Stegostoma tigrinum: one gene and its partner. The protein of the gene in region 1 purifies or fractionates together with the protein of each later gene. This does not show direct contact. Links are inferred from orthologs where the notes say so. Each region holds a gene or a part of one and is shown on either strand. Other genes may lie near its edges.

Region 1 (8,186 bases):
TAACGGCTGGCAAACCATGATAGGTTCATTAGGGGTGGAAAGGAGGAAAGTGAAGGAAGATTTAATTAGTTTTTTTTAAAAAAGCCTTTCATATGGGGAATTACATAAATAATGGAAATTCCCCCACCTCATTTTCACCTTAACTACAAACTCCCTTTAGGTTTATGTACAGATAGCCCATTTCCTCAACAGACAGAACGATCACTATAATCCCGAGTATGAAAACTTCTCACCACCATCACAAAAACTCAACAGGACTTATCCTTTAATCTGCAAACCCAGGCCTGTTTGATAAACTATACACACCTACGCATATCATGCATCTATCTTATATGTAAAAATCACAGTTGTTCAACTTAAAATGTCTAATCAGCATCTCTAACAAAGTCACTTCCATTTAGTGCGAAGAAGAAAATTTTCCAACATGTTAAAAATTGCAACAGTACTTACAATCCATAGCACAGCACATGGCTATTAAAGTTTTAACTTCAGCATTCAGAACGGGGTAGTAATGATGCCTTTGATTTTTCTGATTTTTCTCTACTTATAGCATACATGTAGTCACAAGCAGTTACAAACAGGTCATAAAATGTTGACTAAACCTTTCTACTTCTCTATCAAAAAATAAAACAGCTGAAGGAAAACATCACAAAAAATCAGACTGAAAGGCAAACAGAAATTCTCTTCATACTCTACATCCAAGTATCGGAACCAAACACAACCTCGAGCAGGAAATCAAAGAGGGGAATGTTTTTGTTGTTGCACCAACTACACTGTACTTGTATTGGCATATTAAAATCCAGTTATTTCATTAACACTATAAATTAATTGACTTGCAAACGTAGAGATCTCTATTTTCACAATTTCCTTCTTAATATAAATAACTAGAGGTAATTCACAGATGTAGGAAACATTGTTGGGCAAATGGATCACATGATATACATTGTTGCAGATGGCTTTTTGCAAGTTACAGTGTTTTACAGACTTTTCTAATCAATCTGTTCAGATTTTAATCATGCAAGAGGCCTTCTAGCTCACAACTAAAGACACTACTACCACCACCAATGCAGAGCAGAAATGGAGATAAGTAAATACTTTATATTACTTTTAAAATAAAGGAATACTTCCCAGTGATTTCTGCACAGGATATTATTTCTAGAACCTCTCACTACAAAAAAAGTTTAAAAGCCATATACACAAGTTGTTTGCACAATTCAGTTAAGTACTTTAGAAATGATTAAAAAGACATATTAGCATTCAATAGATAACAGGAACTGCAGATGCTGGAGATTCTGAGATAACAAGATGTAGAGGTGGATGAACACAGCAGGCCAAGCAGCGAGAGGAGCAGAAGGTTTCTGAGGAAGGGTCTAGGCCCAAAACGTCAGCCTTCCTGCTCATCTCACGCTGCTTGGCCTACTGTGTTCATCCAGCTCTACATCTTGTTTTCTTCGCATTCAATAGCTAAGGCACTCCTTTCAAGCAAAAGATTCTTTGAAACATAATTCAGTTACTCGCATAGATTTTTTTTAAAAATCATGAGCAAAAGTCAGAAAAAAGGAGTTTCAATTGGTTTATATTATTTTGAAATATCTTCTACAACATGTTGCTTTGCCCATCAATACAAATCGTCAGTAAAATAGTAAATCGAACTGCTTATGACATCTGTACAGAGATTTTACGAACTTAGCCACTTCATTCAAATTTACTTAGGTCCAGGATCCCATTAACGTCGCTATTTATCAATAAATCTGGATTATTTTATTTAAAGTACGGGCTGTACATGTTCTGAATTGCCTGTTCATTTTGTTTACCTCACTACAAACGAAATGAAACGAAATACAAATGAAAAGAAGGCCCAAAAACAAAACTCGAGCGTTCAAGACATCACAAGTCCTTCGTGAGCAGAAGACACTGCGCGAAAACGGGCGCTCGATTTAAATCGGGTTACCGCTGAACGTGTCCGGTTCATGTATAGTAGGTACTAATGGTGTACTTTATTCCACAAGTTAGACCCCGCTGTCACATTACTAGGGGTTGGACATTGTTGACGTGGCCGGAGGACCCCAACTCAGTCCTTTGTCTGTTTCCCCCATTGCACTGTGTCGGGCTCTGACACCAACTCAACTGGACACTCGTGCCAGCTCAGCTGTTCGATGACGTCGAGACGGGGAGGGGGTTCAAAAGGTGGCTGACGTCACCGCAGCAAACTAGTTTCCCGGGCCCATTTGAAAGTCCCTCTTGGCAGCAATGGACACCTAGTCCAGCCGCCATAAGGCTCATATTCCCATACCTTTCCAACTCTCTCCCCTCCCCACCCCCCCCCAACAAATGTATACTTCAACCCCTAAACAATAACACCCACCTGAAACCATGTTTCAGCAAACCACCCCTCCACTCCCGGCGTGAACCCCTCGCCACCTCCCTCCCAAACAGCACGAAGAATTTTCTAGAATCTCTTTTCATCAACCGACCCACCATCAATACACTCGCCCCCTCCCCCAAAGCCTACACCAAGCAACGACTCAACCGACCCACTAATAGGCGCGTGCAAAATTGATAGGCGCTCCAGCCAATAGACGCCAGGGTTCATCTTCACTCAGCGCCAATCAAGAAACAGCTTACCCTCGACTGACCAATTGGAGAAGGCGGGACTTACCGTGCTTGGCTCCACCCCAGTTCGGCTGGACGGAGAGAATTTACTGTAGAACAAGATGGCGACTATTTCCACAACAAGCGACCTTCTCCATTCCCCCCCCGCCAAAGCATATTAATTACAGACCTCTAACGGCTTATCTGAGTGCGTTTCACTCGCGGCCGATGGCAGCGGCGCGACCCAAAAGCTCACGGCTTCACTTTCCAACCCGCAAATAACCGAATATCCAGAAACGCGTAAAAACAAACGCCATTTACCTTGAATGCAAAGTCGGGCAGGGAGAGGCAGAGAAGGGGGGGGGAAGCGAAATCACTTTCCGGGACACAAATAATTACAAATAGCACCGAAGCGCCTGGTAAATGCCGTTCCGTGCCCACGGTTCAACGCTTAATATGTCGTCTTCTTGGTACGGAGCGCTTCATATTGCGCCCGCAAATGTGTCAGGGCGAGAAAGGCGGACTTTTAATGGAGATTTGAGTGCGAGGAACAGTACGTAAGATAGCGGTAGAAACGCGAACCTTTTGCCGCTGTTGTTGGGGACGGGGGGGAGGGGGTTGTGGGTGGTGGTGTTACTGGTGTGGGGGGAGGGGAGTTGGGGGGGTTTGGTGGAAGAGAAAAAAAACTCTTTTCAATCAGAGGCCGGACACGCCCCTGCGCATGACCCGAGCGATCGCGGAAACCCCGTGCAGGGGCAGCAACCGGGGGGGGGGGGGGGGGCGCGCGCGCGAGAGGAGGGGTGCGGGAATGGGGAGATTCAGCCTGGGGTGGGTGCTGCCCCTACTCTCTCACACAAACACAACGTCCCCGCTCCTCCACATCAGCGACTGGCCGCTCCCCCTTGAATCTGACTGCATTTTTGCTAGGCTTCGAATAACGGGCGGGCGGTGCTTCCCTCCCCCTGCACAAACGCTATTTTTCTGTTCTCCCCCCTCGCTAAGCGAAAGATCGAGCGTTATCCATCTCTCCCGCTGTTCCTACTTCATGTTAGCAGTAAAGTGTGAGGCTATTGCAGAACCAAACGCTCCCATTTAAAAATCCCCAGGAACAGTTTACCGAGGCCTGAAAAAAAAGTTACTTTTTGAAACCCAAGGTTGGGGGATTGCCACACTTAAGACAACCAGAGGTCATTCGCAAAAGTGGAAGAAAATTATCACCTCAAAGTACCACTACGGATTGTACATGTTATCTTTTGCCTTCAAAGTGTTTATACTTAATTCTTCCCGCCTCGGCCGTGTTTTTATCGCTTCGATTTTGAATTAAAATTGCCATAAGATTGTCTATAAATAAACTAGGGTACTTGAAATGTTCCGAATGTGTCAAATTACTGGAGTTGCAAACCAACGATTGTTGAGGACAGCAGTTGGTTGTTTTGCTTGGCTGGTTGGAAAATTCCTCGTAATGGAAATAAATTGTGGTTACACGAATGAAGGGAAATGCATAATGCAACAAGTTTGATCAGCCTCGCAGCTTCAGTCGAAGTCCACTACTGCACGAAACACTCCTGCTCCGACTGAGCATAGAATAGCACCAAAAGTGCAAAAAGTCTCAACCAATTATTAAAAAAACGCGGGAGATCGTGCTATATGATTACAATTAACCAATGAGAGTATGGCCAAATGATCTATCACGTGATTCCTATTGGCCAATAAGTTGATAAGCCTGATAACTTGCGTTAAAAAAAATCTTAGTAGGATGAATGGATTACGATTCACTATGGCCTGGGCGGTGTGAGAAAAGTAGATATTGGAGCGTTTAGCGGTAAATCAAATTTTGATAGCAGGGTGACAAAACGGGTGCTGACACCACAGATGCATACAGCTCAGCTTTTGAAAGACCTAGCTCTTTCTCATTTTTTTAATAGTTGAATTAACGCTGCGCACAATCATAGAATGGGATAGGTAACGTAGTATTTGGGTCAGGCTAACGTTTTGAGTCTAAATGTCTTCTTCAGAGCTGGAGAGCGTAGGGGACAGCATTTAAGCCATAGTTTAGGCTAAGGTGGGTTGTGGGGGTCGTGGATTTGGAATGTTAGTAGAGGAAAAAAAATCTTGGTAGTTTAGGTTAAGTGGTTAGAATGGCAGAACAATGGTGTGTCTCCTGCCGGACTTGAAAGGGCTGACAGTCCCACTAACGTGAGATTACCGGACAGAGGACATGGTAGCAGAATGCAACATGCTAAAATGGAAGAAATGGTTCATAGTTTGAAGGTGATGAACCCAGTGTAAAGTCCAGAAGGCTGTAAGATACCTATTCTGAAGATAGGATGAGATGTTGTTCCTCCAGTGTACGTTGTGATTCACTAGAATACTGCAACATGCTGAGGACTGACATGCAGGCATGTGAGCAGGATGTGGTGTTAAAATGGCTGGCTATGGGAAGTTTGGGGTCATGCTTGTGCAGAAACCCAAGGTGTTCTGCAGAGTAGTCACCCAGTTTGTGCTTGGTTTCCCTAATGTAGAAGGGACTATGCTGGGTGCAGAGAATACAATGCACAAGATTGGAGGAGGTACAGGTGAAATGCTGCTTCACCTGGGAAGACTGTTTAGGCCCTTGGATAATGAGCAAAGAGTAGGTGAAGAGGCAGATGTTGCACTTTCTGCAGTTACTTGGGAAGGTGCCATGGTTTGGGATGCATGTGGTGATGTTGGTGATTGCAGAATGGACTAGTGTGTGATGGTCTTGAATGACCATGTGGATCATATGAAAGCTAACAGTGTGGGAGCAAAATGTGCCCAGCTTCTCGACAGCCTTACTGACTGTTCTGAAACCCCAGGGGTCTTGCTTGCCATCAAGAGGTGAAAATACCCAAGAATCTGAGATGGACATAGTGTATATCACTGCCTCAATCCCTTTGCTAGGTGAAGAAAATGCATTTCTTATGAAATTGTCCACGTGTAAGAGGTGAGCTACCTGTGTATTACATATTGTCCATACCAGAGGCAGAGTTGGAGGAACCTGACCTGGTGCTAAAATGTATAAGAATGGGCCCATGTCCTCAGATTATAGCAGAGATTGTAACAAGGTCAGCCAGGTGGACCTTAGTTCCCTGACTGGGGCTGTTACTCTGGTCCAGCCAAGGAGCCCTAGTACATAGATTATAAACAGGAGTGTCCTGTTAATTGAGAACTGTTTGAGGGAGCTGGATCAGTGTCAAGGGTTCTCCATATAGAAATAAAGGTGACTTGGTGACTGGATACTGGACCCCAGGGGAGTTACTTCATCTGCCTGTTGACTGATCTTCAGTCCATCCTAATATATTCCCTCCAATATCATGCACCTTTAAATTTTGATTACTGACCTGTGTTGAGTTTTCAGGAATTTTTTTAATAAAGTTCAAACGAAAGCCACACCCACTGGTTCCTGTTAATCAACTTTGCTAATAATATGAACAATACTCTTTATCAGATTTGTCAAACATGATCTTTCATTCATAGCTACACATTGTCTAATCAGATGATGATTTTCTAAATATTCAGTAATCACATCCTTTATTTTCCCAATTACTTATGTCAAACTAACATCTAGTTCTGTGTCATCTCTTCCCTACTTTCCTTAAACAATGGGGTTACATTTGTTATAGAGGCAGGCAGGCATCATTATATAATTAGTAGAATTTGAGAGATGATTCCCAATGCTTCCACTATCTCTAGCCATCCACCTCAACATTAGGGCGAAGGTCATTGGGTCCTAAGGATTTGTCAACTTGTAGTCAGAGTAATTTCTCCAATGATCCCTATTTTTACTGAGGCATTTCTCAGAGCAGTCCTTAGCCACACCAATGATCTTCCCTACATCCTATGTTCAGAATTACTCCAAGTTATGAAGGATGGTTCAATATATAAACAAACAAAATAGGTGCTGCAGCAGGCCATTTGGCCCCTTGAACTTGCATTCCCATTCAATAAGGTCATAGCTGATCTGTTTGTATTTCAAATTCCCACTTCTATGTTGTCCACATCCCATACAATATTTTTAAAACATAATATGTTTTGCTAAAACAATACCTAACAAAAAAACTTGCATTTGTGTTTGGCAATACTATCTAAATTAACTGACTGTGGAAAACCTGTTTTATATATTGTATCTTTGGTGTTAAATAACTACATTTAGATTAAGTTCACTCCTTTTTCTGATCTTGAAAACATCCTCCCAACCTGTAATGCATTTTAATTTTATTACTCAATTTTGATACAAAATAAAGAATGGTGGAGAAAACAAGCAGTGTGTTCCCAATTTAAATAAAATTAAAAGATTCCACATGTAAAGAAAATAATTTGTAAATTCTTGCATTTCCTCTAAGCCGCCTTTGGTTAATCACCACAACTACAATGAAAAAAAATTCCACTGAACTTATTCATATTAAAGTACTTATATAGCAACTCTAAGAAAGAAACAATTTTTCTACTTTTTCAACATGCACAATGCAAAGTCAACATGGTAATGTATAAAAAAAATCCATGTTATAGTCTAGTTTGTTAGTTTTGCCATGTGCATTGTTTTGCTAAGACAGAAAACAACATTGAACAATTTCATCAAGTCTTAGAATTCACCGTTATAATTTCTGCCTTTGTATCTCTTGGAGTGAAACCTCAGCATACAAAACTATCAAAACTGGTTAGAAAAATAAATTGGATTTAGATTGGTCTAAATTTACCTACCATTTTATGTGGCTAATGCTTATTGATACTTGTTTGTTTAATCTAAGACAGCTATAAGTAAAAATAAATACAAAAAGTTTTGGTTCTTCTAAGAAACTGTCATTTTAAATAAAACAGATGAAAGACATCAGCTTCAATTGCAAATTTCCTGCCTTGTCTAATGCCACTATCCAATTGTTTTTCTTGGCAATAGTTCGGTTGCTGAACCTGTAATCTCCAACGGAAGTAGTTTCAAGCAAATAAAAGTAATAGTGAAAATGCTGAAGTTTTTTTTTAACCAGGCCAAACACTTCTATGGGCATTACTTCATTTCCTGCAGTTCTTACTATCTCTTCATATGTAGATTTTTTTTAAATGAGTTGCCAGTACATGTAGACGAAAAGTGCAGCAATTTTAGGCATATTAATGTTTGACAGATGAATAACAGATGAATAACCAATTGACCTCTCATTCCTAATGCTGGTCAAGAGAATGATTATAGAAAAACTTACTTTTCTTCAAGTTGTGGTATGAGATTTTAATGCCCTTTTGAATCAAAGAATTGACAGATGCCACCATGGTTTAACTTTTTATTTGCAGGCTGGCACCTCCAACAATGCAGTACTCCTGCAATATGGTAATACATCGTCAGTGATGCTACAAGTATCAGTGTTGTACTTTTTGGCTTCCATGATTCTTAGTTGGTTAGTTCTTAGTATATATCTAGTTCTCTGCATCTCAATGATCAAGATAAATTTAAAGTATGCCCTGTGCATCAATAAAGAGTGTGTTTTCGTTCATTGGAGGTGGTTGTTTTTAAGATTTCTTTCATGATTATAGTTCATCAGTTCATCATTCACATCTTAGAAAGGAGGAGCATAACAATGCACTTT
Region 2 (7,740 bases), on another chromosome or scaffold:
GACAACAGTACAAATATTCAAGGAACGTTAGGAGCAAATCATTTCCTGTTTATGTAGTCAAAAGAAAAATAACATGACAAACTAGTGCAGATTATCAAAGTAGGAATAACAATACTGGTATCTACCCAACATTGATAATAGCCCACGTATGAACTATATACAAAAAGTAGGATAAATGCAAACTGGTTAATTACTGCCCAATCAGTCTGCTGTTGCTTATCAGCAGTGATGGTAGGGGTCAGCAGCAGGGCTGACAAACAACACTCGATTAGCAACAACCTGCTCATTTGGGATCCATCGGGGCCACTCAGCTCCTGACCTCATTATAGTCTTGGCTCAAACATGGATAAAGGAGATGAGTTCCAGAGGTGAGGTGAGGTAAGAGTGACAGCCCTTGACATCAAGGCCATGTCCGACAGTGTGTTAAACTAAGGAGCCATATCAAAACTAATATCAACGACAATCAGAGGCAACTTGCCACTAGTCTGAGTCATTGTCACCAAAAAGAAATATAGCTGTCATTGTTGGAGGTCAGTCATTTCAGCTCAAGGGCATCATTGCAGGACTTGCAGGGTAGATTTTTTTAATTAACTTGATCAGACATCTTATGACACACCTCCAGAGCAAGTGGGACTTATACCCAGGTCTCAGGCCCAGAATTAGGGACACCAGTTCGACAGCTCAAGAAGCCTGAAGTTTCTTAGCATAGTGTTCTAGGTCCAATCATCTTCAACTGCTTCGTTAAGAACCTTCCTCCCAATATGAAATCAGACACAGATGTTTACTCAAGATTAAATAATGTTCAGCAACATATACGTGATACCTCACACACTGAAGAAGTTCTTGCCCAAATACAGCAAGTTCAGAAATCAAACGACAGCAGATTATAGACCAAGGTTAAGGTTTTACAACGTTGCCTTCACCTGATAATAATCTGGTGGCATCTGATTTCTGACCTTGTTCACCCCGGTCAAATACTGGCACCTCCAGATCAAATTCAGCAAGATCTGGGTGATATCCAGGCTTGGGATGATAAGTGAGAAGTAGCATTCATGTCAAACTAATGCTAGGAAATGAACATCTCATTGACAGAATCTAACCATCAATGAATTCCCTACTAGCATCATCCTGGGGTAAGCACTCACTGAAAACTGAACCAGTCACACAAATATTGTGGCTGTTAGAGCAGATCAGATGCTAGGGATCTTGCAGCGAATAGCTTACTTAAGTTTCCTCAAAGACCGTTTATCATCTACAAAGCACAAGTCAGGAGTATATTGAAATACTCTTAGCTTGCCTGGATAAGTACAGATCCAACACCACCCAATATGTTTGACACCATCCAAGAATTAGAAGCCAACCTGATTGGCACCATATCCGTAAATATTCACTCCCTCTACCACAGACGCACAGCACTACACAGAATCTCCTGCAAAAGTTCACCAGGTCTCCATAGACAGCTCCTTCCAAACCCAAGATCGTTATCATCTAGATGTGCAAGGGCAGCAGGTACCTGGGAGCACCAATATCTGCAACTTGCCCTCCAACTTACCTTCCGCCATGTCTTGGAACAATTTTGCCATTCATTCAGTGGCATTGGGTCAAAGTACATCAGCAAATGGACTGCTGTGGTTCAAGAAGGCAGCTAACCTTTTCGATTGCACTTAGGAATGAACGATAAATGCTGGCCCAGCCAATCAACCTTACACCCACAGAATCACTTTTATCTAACAAGAATTGCACCAGTTACTGTGGCAGCCTGATAATTCTAGTGTCATTTCAGAACCATTTTAACTCCAACGAAGACTGCTATTAGATAAATTACAAATTGGCAACATATCAAGCAGCACGATCCATGCCAAACACGTGAATGCAACACCGTTAATCACCTGCAGTACTGAGGAAGTGCTGTTGTTTGGATACAACAGTAAATGCTCCATCAACTCTAACAAAGAACAAGGGATTATCCCCAGCATCCTGGCCAATACTATCCCTCAAACAACATCGCAGAAAATAAATGAACTATTCTGCTATTCGTGACGGCTTGCTGAGCTCACACTTGGGTGTTTCTTAGTGATTGCATTTCAAAAGTAGTTCAACGGCTGTACATATTTGGGAACCTCCGGAGGCTGTGAAAGACACTCTTTATTTTCACTTTACAACTGAAGAACCAAATTGTCAAAGGAAGGCGCATCAAGGGAAAGGCTCACAGTAATCATACAGTACTGACAGCAATCAGAAATATGAAGAAAACCTACTGTATTGAATTAATTAAATTAACCTAAGCACTGGCTTCTCCTTTACCACTGTCATTTATTACTGGGTCCCAGTACAGACAGCAATGGTTCAAACTAAACAGAAGTTGCTGGAAAAGATCAGCTGGTCTGGCAGCATCTGAGAAGGAAAAAAAAGTTAACGTTTCGGGCCCAGTCAGTCTTCCTCAGAATTTTAACTTTTTTTTCCCTTCATAGATGCTGCCAGACCTGCTTAGCCTTTCCAGCAACTTTGTTTTTGTTCCTGATTTACAGCATCCTCAGTTCTTTTGGTTCTTATTTAGCAATAGATTAAAGCGCGCTGTATTAGGTTATGTTGGTAGCAGACAACAAATTCTAACTGTGCGACAATGCTGATCGCTTATCACTAGTCAGTCAACCGAACTGTAACTACGTTCGGTGGCGTGGTGTGGTGCCTTGTCTTGTTTCGGCTGACCCAGCCCCCCACTGCCCAGAAGCAGCTGCCACTGTTGCTTTTGCACAAACCGCTTCCACCCTCCAACAGACCCGGGGGCGGGGCGGCGACTATCCGCCAGCCAATCATATGGCGGGAACGCCGGCATAGCCTTGATTGACAGAGGTCGCTGCCAATAGAATGAGCGAGGGGCGGGTCCGCGCGCGCCACTGGGACCTTGGCAGGCCCGGCGCCAAGCAGCGGTTTCTCGTATTTTCCATGGGGCCGGCAGGAAACGAGAGAAGCTCCGTCCCATCCCGTCTCCTCTCTCCCCTTCCCTTAAAATGGCATGTCCGGCCCGTCAAGGGGTGAGTCAGACCTTGAGCCTTCCCTCTCCCTGAGATTCCGGCAGAAAAACAAGTCACCGGGGAGGAGGAGGATGGAGAATGGTGGCGGCGAGAGGATTACAATAAATCCTGCCACCCAGGGAATGGAGGGTGAGATTGTAATTCAGCCGCGGCCTACAGGAACGCTCACCTTTCTCCGCGGCATCCTGCTCCCCTTACACCTCAGTAAGCCACTACTCGCTGTCCCCAGGACCGACTCCGCTTCTTCACAAAAAAATACAATCCCGAACCACTCGCGCCGTTGGCCGTTGTTGTTTTCCGCCACTTCCGGTCCGAGCGGAAGGTAATAGCAGTGGTGTTCCGGCTGCTCCGCGCTTTCAGTTCCTCTTGGTGGGACGGGGCCGGGGGACCGGAGCGGAGTGTGCACCAAATTAGCTGGCCGAGGCTGGAAGCTCTCATTAGCACTAAGGCAGCACCGGTAGAGACAAACAGCAATGTTCACGCTTCTGGCCGATGGTCTTTTAACGTGCGTGCGTGGGTGGGCGGGTGTTTTATTGTCAAGCGGGTGCTGAGGCAGATATTTCTCAAACTTGGTTCAGAGAAAGTAGGAACTGCAGATGCTGGAGAATCTGAGGTAACAAGATGTAGAGCTGGATGAACGCGGCAGGCCAAGCAGCAGAGGAGCCGGAAAGCTGATGTTTCGGTTCTGGACTTTTCTCCAGAAGGGTTTCATCTTGTTATGTCTATTTCTCAAACTTTCCTCGATCTTCGTCGGGATGGTTCAGAGAAGCGGGGTTAGAAACGGAGCTGCAAATTAGAATAATCCTCCTGAAGAGAAGTCATACCAGACTCAAAACATTAACTCTGTTTCTGTCTCCACAGATGCTGCCAGACTTGTTGAGTGTTTCCAGCAACTTCTGTTCTTATTTCAAATTTCCATCATCTGCAACTCTGTTTTATTTTGTTGTTTCCCTGTGCCCAAGTGGACATCCATGTTTAGCCTACTTTATACATACATAGACATGGTAGTTCAGAAATTAAAACTGCAAATGCTGAAAAAACTCTGTCTTCCGGCAGCAGCAGAGGGTCAAGTAAAGTCAATGTTTTAGTTTGATAATCCTTCAGAATTCTGGCATCCACTGTATTATCTACAGATGCAGGAGACCATCTGTAATTTTATCATCTTAATGGGTAAGATTAAGCAAAAATTTAACTCACTTTTTGTAGGAATTAGAAATAATTCAGTCCTAGGACTCGATGGACAATCTCAGTACTATACTGGTGAGAATTAAGGGGAAATCAGTGTTGAATTTGGCATTGTGTGCCTTCTATTTGATAGAGTATGTTTCTATTTAGCTTCCTTTAAATCATCTTAAATTCAGACAGCCCAAATAATAATGACTGAGAATCTATTCTACCTTTTGGAGTCTTGGAAAGCTGTAGCACTGTTTTCCCAACAATACTTTCAACAAATGTGACCATCAGATCATTGTTGCGAATAGCACATTGATGTGACTTCAGACTTCCATCAGCTGATGGCAAGTTGTCAATCAGAAGGTCTCTGAGCCAGTCTCACACCTTTGACACTTCCCAACCTGAACTCATGTAAAACTGTTGCTCTTTTCCTAACTTGCATCCAGACCGTATGTATGAGTCCTGTACTCATTGCTTATCTGTAAGTAAATGTAGGCCAAACACCTTAAATTTAAAATTCTGGTCTTTGTTTTAATTCTTCCTTGGCTCTGTCTCTCACTGTCACCTTCTCAAATTCTGTTCACGTGTTCTGCATACTCAGATTTTAATTACTGTCACTGGTGGTCATGCTTTCAGCTTCCTGGGCCCCGGCCACTGGAACCTCCGTACCTCTGTCTTCCTTACAAATGTTCCGAAAAATGAAATGTCTTTGGGTCACATGTCCTGATAGGTAGCTCTATGTCAAATTTTGTTTGTTGGCACTCCTATGAAGTGTCTTGAGATGTTTTACTGGATTAGGGACACTATATAAATATAAATTGTTTTTCTTGTACGGTAGTAGCAGCAAAAATGTATGATTATTTAATAGGTGATAAATTAAGATAGGTTGGCTATTTGCCTGTTTATCTTCTAACCTTGGAGAAAAGACTGAAATAACTATGGTCTGTAGCTGTGAGACTGGAAAAGCACAGCAGGTAAGACAGCATCCGAGGAACTGATAATTGAACATTTCAGGCCAAACTTTTAGTTATACCTGCTGCTTGGATGCTCTCTGACCTGCTATGCTTTTTCAGATTTACACCTATAAACTCTGGCTTCTGGCAACTGCAGTCCTTATTTGTCTCCAAGTCACTGAAATAATCCTAATCTTAGGAAGATAGAATATTTTCATAGTATCTTTGCCTTTGCAAGATTGCAATCCCCTTGGGTTTGGGCCCTTATTTGTTGTGTGCAGTTTATTCTTCGAAAAAAACCTTTCGTCGTTACACATAGGTCCTAAAAAAGAATACAAAACTTGAAAGTCTCATTTCAAATTGACATAATAAATTAGATTTTGAATGCCTCCTGCTGGCCTTTTAAGATAACAATCTTTTTGAACGTAGTATCAGAGATAATGGGAACTGCAGATGCTGGAGATTCCAAGATAATAAAATGTGAGGCTGGATGAACACAGCAGGCCAAGCAGCATCTCAGGAGCACAAAAGCTGACGTTTCGGGCCTAGACCCTTCATCAGAGAGGGGGATGGGGGGAGGGAACTGGAATAAATAGGGAGAGAGGGGGAGGCGGACCGAAGATGGAGAGTAAAGAAGATAGGTGGAGAAGGTGTGGGTGGGGAGGTAGGGAGGGGATAGGTCAGTCCAGGGAAGACGGACAGGTCAAGGAGGTGGGATGAGGTTAGTAGGTAGCTGGGGGTGCGGCTTGGGGTGGGAGGAAGGGATGGGTGAGAGGAAGAACCGGTTAGGTAGGCAGAGACAGGTTGGACTGGTTTTGGGATGCAGTGGGTGGGGGGGAAGAGCTGGGCTGGTTGTGTGGTGCAGTGGGGGGAGGGGATGAACTGGGCTGGTTTAGGGATGCAGTGGGGGAAGGGGAGATTTTGAAACTGGTGAAGTCCACATTGATACCATATGGCTGCAGGGTTCCCAGGCGGCCTCCTACCCTCCCTCGACCTCTTCATCTCCAACTGCCGTCGAGACATTAACCGCCTCAACCTCTCCACCCCTCTCACCCACTCCAACCTCTCCCCCGCAGAACGGGCAGCCCTCCGCTCCAACCCCAACCTCACCATCAAACCCGCAGACAAGGGTGGCGCAGTGGTAGTATGGCGTACTGACCTCTACATCGCCGAGGCCAGACGCCAACTCTCCGACACCACCTCCTACCGCCTCCTCGATCATGACCCCACACCCGAGCACCAAACCATCATCTCCAACACCATTCATGACCTCATCACCTCAGGGGACCTCCCACCCACAGCCTCCAACCTCATTGTTCCCCAACCCCGCACGGCCCGTTTCTATCTCCTTCCCAAAATCCACAAACCTGCCTGCCCTGGTCGACCCATCGTCTCAGCCTGCTCCTGCCCCACCGAACTCATCTCCACCTATCTGGACTCCATTTTCTCCCCTTTGGTCCAGGAACTCCCCACCTATGTCCGTGACACCACCCACGCCCTCCACCTCCTCCAGAACTTCCAATTCCCTGGCCCCCAACACCTCATATTCACCATGGACGTCCAGTCCCTGTACACCTGCATTCCGCATGGAGATGGCCTCAAGGCCCTCCGCTTCTTCCTGTCCCGCAGGCCCGACCAGGCCCCCTCCACCGACACTCTCATCCGCCTAGCGGAACTCGTCCTCACACTCAACAACTTCTCTTTTGACTCCTCCCACTTCCTACAGACTAAGGGGGTGGCCATGGGCACCCGCATGGGCCCCAGCTATGCCTGCCTCTTTGTAGGTTACGTGGAACAGTCCATCTTCCGCACCTACACAGGCCCCAAACCCCACCTCTTCCTCCGGTACATTGATGACTGTATCGGCGCCGCCTCTTGCTCCCCAGAGGAGCTCAAACAGTTCATCCACTTCACCAACACCTTCCACCCCAACCTTCAGTTCACCTGGGCCATCTCCAGCACATCCCTCACCTTCCTGGACCTCTCAGTCTCCATCTCAGGCAACCAGCTTGTAACTGATGTCCATTTCAAGCCCACCGACTCCCACAGCTACCTAGAATACACCTCCTCCCACCCACCCTCCTGCAAAAATTCCATCCCCTATTCCCAATTCCTCCGCCTCCGCCGCATCTGCTCCCAGGATAAGACATTCCACTCCCGCACATCCCAGATGTCCAAGTTCTTCAAGGACCGCAACTTCCCCCCCACGGTGATTGAGAACGCCCTTGACCGCGTCTCCCGCATTTCCCGCGACACATCCCTCACACCCCGCCCCCGCCACAACCGCCCCAAGAGGATCCCCCTCGTTCTCACACACCACCCTACCAACCTCCGGATACAACGCATCATCCTCCGACACTTCCGCCATTTACAATCCGACCCCACCACCCAAGACATTTTTCCATCCCCACCCCTGTCTGCTTTCCGGAGAGACCACTCTCTCCGTGACTCCCTTGTTCGCTCCACACTGCCCTCCAACCCCACCACACCCAGCACCTTCCCCTGCAACCGCAGGAAATGCTACACTTGTCCCCACACCTCCTCCCTCACCCCCATCCCAGGCCCCAAGATGACATTCC

Evidence for each region.
Region 2: the proteins of bromodomain and PHD finger-containing protein 3-like (region 1) and kat7b purify together in Homo sapiens (affinity purification with mass spectrometry; 3 studies listed by BioGRID and IntAct, counting the BioPlex papers as one, with this or other methods). This does not show direct contact. The link is inferred for Stegostoma tigrinum from reciprocal best matches to the Homo sapiens genes BRPF3 and KAT7.

Annotation. Positions count from the first base shown.
Region 1 is NC_081374.1:26,928,351-26,936,536, forward strand, and holds the start of bromodomain and PHD finger-containing protein 3-like, read right to left. Parts: upstream 3,197-8,186; 5' UTR 2,914-3,196; intron 2,766-2,913; exon of another isoform or gene 2,660-2,765; intron 2,434-2,659; exon of another isoform or gene 2,366-2,433; intron 1-2,365. UniProt on the Homo sapiens protein: Scaffold subunit of various histone acetyltransferase (HAT) complexes, such as the MOZ/MORF and HBO1 complexes, which have a histone H3 acetyltransferase activity.
Region 2 is NC_081384.1:23,490,148-23,497,887, forward strand, and holds the start of kat7b (histone acetyltransferase KAT7), read right to left. Parts: upstream 3,369-7,740; 5' UTR 3,220-3,368; coding exon of another isoform or gene 3,205-3,219; intron 1-3,204. UniProt on the Homo sapiens protein: Catalytic subunit of histone acetyltransferase HBO1 complexes, which specifically mediate acetylation of histone H3 at 'Lys-14' (H3K14ac), thereby regulating various processes, such as gene transcription, protein ubiquitination, immune regulation, stem cell pluripotent and self-renewal maintenance and embryonic development.